2 linked regions of the Caenorhabditis elegans genome follow. The protein of the gene in region 1 purifies or fractionates together with the protein of each later gene. This does not show direct contact. Each region holds a gene or a part of one and is shown on either strand. Other genes may lie near its edges. The genes, in order: ceh-32 and gmn-1.

Evidence for each region.
Region 2: the proteins of ceh-32 (region 1) and gmn-1 purify together in Caenorhabditis elegans (affinity purification with western blotting, with the first as the bait; one study listed by BioGRID). This does not show direct contact.

Annotation. Positions count from the first base shown.
Region 1 is NC_003283.11:11,701,124-11,707,199, reverse strand, and holds ceh-32 (Homeobox protein ceh-32), read left to right. Parts: upstream 1-1,799; 5' UTR 1,800-1,826; coding exon 1,827-2,042; intron 2,043-2,298; exon of another isoform or gene 2,299-2,435; intron 2,436-2,555; coding exon 2,556-2,648; intron 2,649-2,698; coding exon 2,699-2,874; intron 2,875-3,777; coding exon 3,778-4,035; intron 4,036-4,344; coding exon 4,345-4,921; 3' UTR 4,922-5,436; downstream 5,437-6,076. UniProt on the Caenorhabditis elegans protein: Transcription factor which binds a motif with the core sequence 5'-GTATCA-3'. Plays a role in head morphogenesis. Involved in embryonic development. Required for cell specification of the RIA interneurons.
Region 2 is NC_003281.10:12,223,093-12,227,320, forward strand, and holds gmn-1 (Geminin homolog), read right to left. Parts: upstream 2,240-4,228; coding exon 1,994-2,239; intron 1,838-1,993; coding exon 1,541-1,837; 3' UTR 796-1,540; downstream 1-795. Other genes in the region: gphr-1 (Golgi pH regulator), read left to right, coding at 539-742; Y75B8A.18 (Clathrin light chain), read right to left, coding at 2,622-2,771, 2,828-2,977, 3,027-3,101; Y75B8A.19 (RING-type E3 ubiquitin transferase), read left to right, coding at 3,576-3,621, 4,207-4,228. UniProt on the Caenorhabditis elegans protein: Inhibits DNA replication by binding to the DNA replication licensing factor cdt-1. Its interaction with cdt-1 prevents the cdt-1 loading of the mini-chromosome maintenance (MCM) complex onto DNA and therefore DNA replication licencing.

The sequences.
Region 1 (6,076 bases):
TTAGATATGTGTATCGATTTGATTGCGATGTGTAACGAAGATATATGATTGAAGAAGGGAGACCGAATACAACGATCTTCCGCATGATTCCTAATCCTGGTATCATGGGCGCGCGCTAAAAGGCTTAACGAAGACGGTCAAGGTTTGGATGACGGTGTTGTCTTCATGACTTTCTATTGATATATCATAATGTATCTTGTATTACATTCCAATAAAAAGTTTAATTATTTGTATCTTCATAGTTTTTTAACTGATTGGTATAAGTGGAAATCCTGAGTGAAATATATTAACCTATAAATTTCCGTGAGGGTTCTGATCCATGATTTCTAAAACTAAAGATGCACTCTAAATATTTGTGCTCATTGAAACTTGGTAGATATAACAGACTTGAACTGTTATTGGCCTTTCATTTAACTTGAAGCCATGAAATGTTCCACCTGTGCTAAATTTGGTACATGAATATAAGCAACATAGTTGACTGTAAAACATTATTTATTATTCATTTAATGCATTATTTCTGGGCTTCAAATTCTAAAATATATAAAGTCTCTAACCCCCTTAATAGTTTTCATCATAGTCTTTTGACTCTTCTCCAATTGCTACACTAATCAATTAATCACTCAAGCGAGCTGTCATTGCCACTTATAGGGTCCGAAATTGACTGAAAACAACTAATGGCAATGGGTCGGCGTGTGAGGAGCGATGGTAAACGAAGAAGTGGCGGGCGAGATAGAAGAAACACTAAATAAATGCCATTAGCGAAAAAAGAGAGACCACTTTCAAATCATCCATCGAGATGGGGCCTGGCGCCTCGAGACAGAGAAGGAAAAGGAGTACTTGTTTTTTTTCGTTCATCAATGCCATACAAAGAAGTACGGTAGAAGTAGTATTTAGGAAAAAGGAGACGATGAGTTGAAGAACACGTGGCCATAGAAAGGGGGAGAAGATTTGGCTGAAAGTGACAATGTCAGTAAGGAAGGTGCGAATGGGGGGAGGCATGCGTTATAACCTCCGGTTAAGAAAATATGAAGACAAAAGGGAATCGATATGGTTCGTACATATATTCGTTTGACAGAATTTTCTAAAATTGAGATATGTGTCATAACAATTTTAGAATTTGCACCTGAAACATCTTGCACACTAAATGAAGAACGAGTTCGTGTGTTCGAAACATACGGTTATTCTAGGATCTTAAAAATAACCTCTAAATCATGATGATCTGGATATTGATCTAGATAACTCTTTGACTTAAAATCTAGGACACAATATATCCTCCTCACTACACAAAACCACCAAAATAAGTGAGAAACTACCACTGTTAACAAAAACTTTCGATTTCCAGAAGACCTCACTTTCTAATTGTACAAATATATTCATTGCGGAGACTTTTCGTCCCCCGACTGATCTCCACCAACATCATCGACAACTTCATCTATTCTCTGTCCCCCACTGATTAGTTTCGCAGTTAAACAAAAGCTTCCTAATGATACTCACTTACCCAACCACACTACCCAAGGGACAAGCACGCCCCAGCAGTATCGTCTCCCGTTACCCGCATCTTCCTTTCCGATGTGGGCGTGGTTTCAGTGGATGGGGGGTTAGCCACCAACCAACCCGCGCGTCCTTCATGACTCCGCCCCCGTATCATTAGAAAGATTCGTTGCGACCGACAAGCGCATACATACATTCAACCACACCGATACATTCTTACTCAACTCCTCAAATTTTGATCCGATCCTATCTTTTTGATTTCTACTTTCAACTCACAATCTAAAACTTTTAATTGTTTTCAATTTCAGTCTGATCCCCATTCATCCTTTGCGAACATGTTCACTCCAGAACAGTTCACAAAAGTGATGTCCCAACTGGGTAACTTTTCCCAGTTGGGACAAATGTTCCAACCCGGGAACGTTGCAATGCTTCAAGCACTTCAAGCCAATGGAGCATCCTCCACTCCATCACTGTTCCCTGCAATGCCTTCAGTTATTCCATCGTTAGCTGCTCCATCATCACCGACTACCTCGAACTTGACTGCTGACCAGGTTAGTATTATTAGTATTGTTTGATTAGTTGTAAGAAATTATCATGCATAGTGCCATCATCATGGCGCTAGCGTCAAATAAATGTGTCATTAGGGGTACTGATGAGCCATCAAAGAAGAATACCGCAATAGGGTTCACTTAAAAACGAATGTTGTAGAATGAAAAAAGAAATAGAAAAGAAGATAAGTGATGTTGAGCATAAAACATAAGATGTGTTGAAAAAGAAAGAAAAACGGAAAATTTGATCAAATTTGAAACGTATCTTTTCCTCTTCTCCCTTTCTTCTTACTTCCGTTCTTCTCTTACTTTCAATCCAATCATGCTCCTTGTCTTCTCATAATTTTATTGCTTTTTGTCTCCTCTTTTCTCGCCTTCTGCAACACAAAGTGCAAACCTAAATTCCATTTAGTTTTCTTACACAAAATGATTGAAAAGTAAATGTTTTATGATGAAAAGTATGAGCCATCATTCATCTGATCATCCATCTCTTTTGTTTAAATATCAATTTTTTAGATTGTGAAGACATGTGAGCAACTTGAAACTGATGGAGATGTCGATGGACTTTTCCGATTCATGTGCACAATCCCTCCACAAAAAACTCAAGAGGTAAAACTCTCTGATGATCGGAACTTTTAAAATCATCTGAAAATTTATAGGTTGCTGGAAATGAAGCCTTTCTTAGAGCCCGAGCCCTCGTCTGCTTCCATGCAAGTCACTTCCGCGAGCTCTACGCCATTTTGGAAAACAACAAATTCTCTCCAAAATACCATCCGAAGCTTCAGGAAATGTGGCATGAAGCTCACTACCGTGAACAGGAGAAGAATCGTGGAAAGTGAGTGAAAAGTTTTTTTTCCCAAAAGGTACTCATCTCATTGTCTTTGAAAGCTATCATTAGTGTTAGAGTCTACGGTAGGATAGTAGCATCACGGCGCTATTGTATGTGAGTGTGAGAGAAGAAGAAAGGAGCCGGCTCCTTTTGCTTTCAATCTTGTCGGACAATATTTGCTTTGAAGCAAGACGCCAAGGGTCTTTCTCGCTTTTCTTCAACACACTGTTACACTGATAGGACTGATAGATAGACAGATACTTTTGTCAAGAGCATTGGAGAATAAAAACTAGAACAGTAGGAAATGTTTGAAAAGGAAAATCTTCAAAGAATTAGAACTGATAGATTTGACTATATATTCCAAAATATAAGTTAAAACCTTTAAAAAAATTGTTTTCTTTATACGGATATCCCGATCCTTTCGTTTTCTGTCTTCAAGTATCGAAAGATTCATGACCAAAATTCCTGATCTGAATACCTTCACCATTAATTTTATTCGTTTCAAAGTATTCCATCTCTTCAAAATTAGCTACATTTTGTCCTCATGTAGAAACGGTAAATGCGTGCTAATCGTCCACCGGGTCGCCCCCTGAACAAACCCGGCATTTACAAATTTGACACCTTCAAGAAAGAAGGGATAGGAGATGGCTTTTAGAGCCTTCTCGCATGCCGTATGTCGTCTTGTCGACGCAAAAAGATGCGCCCTCTAATTAGCTGATTGGCGTTGATTTTTGTGTTCACATACTACCGGCTTTAGAGCTGAAGAGCTAGTGTTCATGTACCATATGTGCGGCATACACAGTACTGTTAATCGGATAATTTGTTTGACTCCTCTTCCGACAAGGCAAGACGTGTTTTAAAACATTCAGAGGATTATCTCCTATTGTATTGAATCCTCAAAATTTTCAGATCTCTTTGTGCAGTCGACAAATATCGTGTTCGCAAGAAGTACCCAATGCCAAGAACAATCTGGGATGGAGAGCAAAAGACACATTGCTTCAAGGAGAGAACAAGATCACTTTTGAGAGAATGGTATCTCAAGGATCCATATCCAAATCCACCAAAAAAGAAGGAACTCGCAAATGCAACAGGTCTCACACAGATGCAAGTTGGAAATTGGTTTAAAAACAGGAGGCAACGAGATCGGGCAGCAGCTGCAAAAAATAAGTGAGTTGGATCGAAATTGATTTCTGCCGTTGTTTGAGTCAATCTCTCACTTTTGTGGCTTTAAATAATATGAGACTGCGGCACTGCCTTCCCTGTTGATTTTCAATTTTTGAGAATTCATAATAGTAGTTGTTGTAGTAATGGTAGAAGTTTGAAGACAATTAAAAACGGATCAGGAAGTGTCTTCTTCTCAATTTCCTTTTTCTCGACCTTATGATCCGAATGTAATCTGTCTCTTCTCTTCCATAATCTCGAAATAGGAGAATAATTACCCCCTATGCATTTCAGTTTTATTTTCTTCTTTTTCAGGCAAAACATCATCGGAGTGGAATTGAAGAAAACATCGTCCGACATGTCAGATTCAGATGATGATTTTGAGGATTCAATGACTGATTCTCCAAGCCCAATTGATGAACCGAAAGATCTCAGCAAAAGTCATATTCCAAAGCTCTCACCAACACTCTTACCTAAAATGGCGACTCCATTCGATATGTTCGCAGCTGCAGCAAATCCATTGATGATGTTGAACTTGAATCCAGCTCTCTACATGCAATTCCACAACTTTTTCAACACAATGAGGAACCCACAAATTGACGAAGAAGAAAATAGCGAGACAACGGTTGAAGTTGAAGCTGATATTGAGCCACCGAAGAAACGATCAAAATTGAGTATTGATGAGATTTTGAATATCAAATCAGAAGTGTCCCCTTCACAATGCTCACCCTGCTCCAATGAATCACTTTCTCCAAAGCGAGCGGTAAAGACAGAAGAAGTGAAAAAAGAGGATGATGAGGCTGCTGAAGAAGATTCTCGAAGTGTGAAGAGTGAAACATCAGAAGATCCAAAACATTCATCACCAAAGTCAACGACATCTCAATCTGAGTAACTCTTCCTAGAAAATTGTAATTATTTTTGTAGTTATATATACACTTTTTGAAACTTTTTATTATTATTTTCCTCGCATGGAACGTTTTCCAATTTTTCTTGATTCCGGAAAACAATCAAATCTCAGTTCAGAAACGTTCATGTCAAAGAACAAACTCACAAACGTTCCCATCTTTTCAGTCCAATGTTCGTCTCAAATCCGGTACCATATTTTCATACTTAGTTGTACTTTTTTGAGCTTTTCCTTCTTCACTTCCTCCCGCATTTGCCACTCACTTTGAACCTCAAATTCTGATTTCTTCTATTCTTTTTTGTCCACAATCTTCAGATGATTGCTACACCGCTTTGATGCATTCCCTCTAAAAATAGCTTTAGCGGCGTTTGAGCATTCATCTGCTAGACCCTTCTTACCCAAATGTATTATTTTTTTTTCATTCATTCGTTCAAATATTTAAGAAATAATTATCTATGATCATTATTTCCAAAAACTCAGATCTAATAAATAGTATTCAATATATAATATCTGGATTTTTTGACTACTGTATCTGTGAATTAATAAACACAAAAGAACATTCCGAAGTAATGCGAATCTGCAAAATACCAAATACTTTGTATTATATAGTTTCTTTCTAGGAAAAAGTGATTGACCCAAAATATAAATATGTTCGTCGTCGATCTTTAAAACATTTTTTGTTGGGCTGAACAAGTACTAGAATGAATATATTTAGATGTTACTGTGTATCCTTTACTGGGTTCATAGTAATTATGATACTGTATGTCTATTACGTAATAAGGTGGTAGCAGTGGTTGAATAGTACTCGAAGCAATCTCATGATAGTATCCTCTTGTATTGGGTGTCAACTCAGCTCATAGTTCTGGTTTTGTGTGTACCTGCACTCATGTCTCCTTACAAGTGTTTGCGATGCACAGTTCATTGGTCTCTGGTAATTTAGAGCCTGAACACAAGTTTTTGGTATCAATTTCAGTATATTCTACCGTAGTCATTTCCACGTCATAACCTCATCGCATCATGAGTTATTCGAGCACATCCATATCGCTTATTGGTTTGATGTCGAATTACACGCTCATTAAACTGAGTGAGTGGTTTTGTGTATAGAGAGGAAAAGCTCTTTGTCGACTGGGAGAGACTCTTCCA
Region 2 (4,228 bases), on another chromosome or scaffold:
CCTGATTCCGAATATCTATGTGAAAAAGTTCGAAAAAATTTCCCTGATTTTACATTCCAGCTTGAAATCGCGAGATTCATTTGCAACCCCAAAGAAATTCTCAGTGGAGCGCGCTTGCTTCGTGTCGATTTACGAGAGATTTTTTTTCAGTTTTTTAGCGTTTTTCCTACATTTTTGAGTTCTGAGCTCAATAAATGTTAAATTGACACAAAAAAAATTTTCAGAAAAAAAACCTACAAAAAATCGACAAAAATTAAGGAAACACGCACGAAATAAATTTTAAAAAACGGAAAGCTCCCGTAAATCGTCACGAAGCAAGCGCGCTCCAATGAGAATATCTGTGAGCGCGCATTTGAAAAAAATGATTCGGGCGCGATTTCAAGGTGAAATATAAAATCAGGGAAATTTGTTCGAATTTTTTCACATAGATATTCGGAATCAGGGGAAAATTTGGAGTCATTCAAGAGCATTTTAACAGTTTTTTCACCAATTTTTCAATTAAATTTTCGATTTTTCAATAAAAAATTGAATTTTTCAGGGAATGTACTTCGTTTCGAGCGTCCTATTAATGCGTATGAACGTGCCCGAGGAGTATCGAACGATTCTGACGAGAATTCTCGGCGATTTGAAATTCAACTTCTACCATCGCTGGTTCGACGTGATTTTCCTAATATCCGCCGTCTCTTCTATTGTTTTCTTGACACTTATTCACAAATCCGGTTCTTCAATGTTTAGGGCATAATTATTTGTTTTTGTGGTTTTGTTGCTGGTATTTAAATTATTTTAAACTTCGGGTCGCATAGAATTTGAAATTCATTTGATAAAAAAACATTTTAAAATTGAATTGCGTTGAAATTTGGTAAAACTCGTAAAAGGAATGAAGTAAATACACAAGATATATATAAACACGAGGTAGCACGCTCCCCTCGAAGCCGAATAATTATTCGAGCGCGCTTGCTACGCTTCGCGTTTCAGCGTCGGCTGAGTTTTGCTTTTCCACTGAAAATAGCAGATTTATCGAATTTTTAGCTTAAAATTTTTTTTCGGCTTTTTACGAACCAACCTTTTGTTAAACGGTGAAAATCAAATTTAAAATGACTAAAATGAACTTTTTTCGTCCACTGGTTGTGAAATGGTTTGAATTTGAAGACATCAGCGGGATTTTTCGTATTTTCTGAATATTTTTCGATTAGAATTCGGTTTTAAACTATTTTTGACTCTAACGTTAGGTTACAAGTGCATTAAAACCGATTTTTAATTGAAAAATATTTAGAAAATAAGAAAAATCCCGTTGATGTCGTCAAATTCAAACCATTTTACAGCCAGTGAACGAAAAAAGTTCATTTTAGTCATTTTAAATTCGATTTTCACTGTTTAACAAAAGGTTGGTTCGTAAAAAGCCGAAAAAAAATTTTAAGCTAAAAATTCGATAAATCTGCTATTTTCAATGAAAAGGCAAAACACCGCGGGCACAGAAACGCGAATCGTAGCAAGCGCGCTCTAATAATTATTCGGCTTTGAGGAGAGCGTGGATAGTAATTTAAAGTTGCGCGGTGCCAATCTCCTCATCCGTCTGTTGCTCCTCGTCAATGTCGGCGAGCACTTCGAGAAGAATCTCCGTGTCATCGTCGATTTTTCGCATTTTTTCGTCGAGATCTCCGAGTTCGGCGACGAGACGCTGATTTCTGTCCATTTCATCGTCCAGATCCATTTGCAGACGGTCAGCCATCACGCGAAGATAGTTTACAGTTGGTTTTTCAGATGTTAGATCGGCTTCTGTGATTTTTGGTTGAACGTGTGGGACGTTGATGATCGTTTGCGTGGACACTGTGCCGTACTGCAATTTTTTTGATTTTTTTAAAATAAAATTTCAAAGTTTTAATAAATATCTATTATACCAGCTGCTTTCTCGTGTTCTGATGAATTAGCGATAATATACAAAGCATTGTAGATATATTTATGCCGATAAATCTTTTTAATCATCATTTCATACCTCAAACATCTGCGTCTCCACGTTTTTTGCCTCTTGATCATCATCACAGAACACGTCGAATGGAGATAAAACCGGTGTGATTGTGGTGGCAGAAGCCAGCGGGGACGGTGTGATTGGCTGATATTTCTTGAGTTGGGCGGTGAGCTTCAGCGGTTCTGGAATTTGCTTGGTGCCGGTGGCCTTCTCGGAGCCAAATGGACTGTTGCGTGCCGAGTTGTTGAGCTGTTGAAGGCCGATTCTGCTCATCTGAAATTTTTTTTGTTGAAAATTACACAAAAATAAGCAGAAAAAATTGAAATTGCGGCGAAAAATGGTGAAAATTTGAGTTCAAAATTCAAAAAAATAGATTTACGCGGGCCCCTAGGCCCGTAGGGTCTCGCCACGAAGCACGAGAAATTAAATTTCGAACCCTGCGCCTTTAAATTTACCGTACCCCAAAAATCGATTTTTCGGTGCAATTTGGAGAAATTAAATGAAAAAATACAAAAAAAAGAAGAAATAACCAGCTCTGATGATAAAAACAGAGAAATTAAATGAAAAAAAGACATCGACAAGGAGCAAAAATGCATTTTATACAGAAAAATAAGTATTTTTATAGCAAAATTAGAAGAATCCGGATTAATCCGAATTATTTACAGGTGCTCGTGTCGGGTTCTTCTTCGGAATCGCCGTTTTCACTTGATTTTTTCAATTTTTCGTTTCCCAAATCGAAGAGTCGCGTGTATTCAGTCTGTTTCGCGTCGAGCATCTCCGATTTTCGACTTTTCTCCACTTCCATCTGCAAAATCAATCGATAACTGTATATTAATATATCGCGTTGGAAAAAAATAAAACCTTCTCATTCAACGCTTTAATTCGATCCACTTCATTCTGTCGATTTGCAACAATTGACTCCCAATACGACATTTCTGGATTTTCCGTGTTTTTTCGATATTTTGTAATCGATTCCTCTGCTGTCTGTGTTGTCATATTTTCTACAGCAATCTAAAATAAATATTTTTCAATTTTTTTTTTTTTTTTGAAAAAAACTTACCTCTTCAGTCTGACATCCGACTTCTGGGGATAAATTGTTGGTTGTTGGCTCCCCGAGCACTACAAAATCACTCATCTCGAGAAAAATCGATAAAAACTGGCTAGAAATTGGTGAAAATGGTGTTGAGAGACAGGTGTTAGATTCGAAACACCCGCCATTGGTGAAGTGCGGTGGAGCGCGAGTGCGCCGCGTGACGTCACGGCTCCGTTGAAATGCAATTACATGCAATATTATAGAGATTTTCGAATAATATAAGAAATTATTGTTAGTTTCTGAATGAAATCTGACCAATAAATGATTAATTACAACATTTTTACAATATATCGTATATTTTGTATTTTAAATTGCTCTTTAAAAAATCGATCGATACACCATAACTTTATTTTACTAGAATAGTATATAAAATTCACTTTTTTTCCATTTTAATGCCAACTTCCTCCCCCAACCAACCCCAAAATCGTTAAAAAAATCGTATTTTTCATTCACAAATGTAGTTAATTTTAAGATTTACAGAACTAATATTCTATGAGCGGAACAGGATTGTTCAAAATGGTGTTGCAACACCAATTTGACGGCCTACTCGAAGTGATGCCTGGTTTGTAATTTTTTTTTCTTAAGAAATTTGAAAAATATCTCGATTTTCCAAAAATTTTCTCTTTTTTACACAAAATTTGTCGAAAAAGATTGAAAGTAATACAATTTCGTGATTTTTGCGCCAAAACTACGGTGCCCGGTCTCGACACGACAATTTTTAGTTAAATTGAACAAGGTGTGCGCCTTTAAGGAGTACTGTAGTTTTAAACTTTCGTTGCTGCGGGATTTTCGATTTTTTTCAATTTCAAGTAAATTTAAATTAAAAATTTTTTATTTAAACAAACTTTAAAAAAAATCGGATTTCTGGCTTCCCTCCATAAATTGAAATGGAAGAGTTTTTTGCCGAACTAGGCCAGGCCATATCTGGGGTAGATTTACGGCGCGTTGCGTGTCGCATCGCGGCTCGATTATAGTCCGTGAGGAGTACACGACACTTTTCCACGCGAAAAATTCAATGAGGAAGGCCTGAACCCCGTATTAAATTACAGTAACCTTTAAAGGCGCATACCTTTTCCATAAAACAAAAATTTGTCGTGGCGAGACCTGGTACAGTAATTTTTGCGCAAAAAAATCCCCAAAATTCCAGAAAATCCCCGCAAAAAACTTCG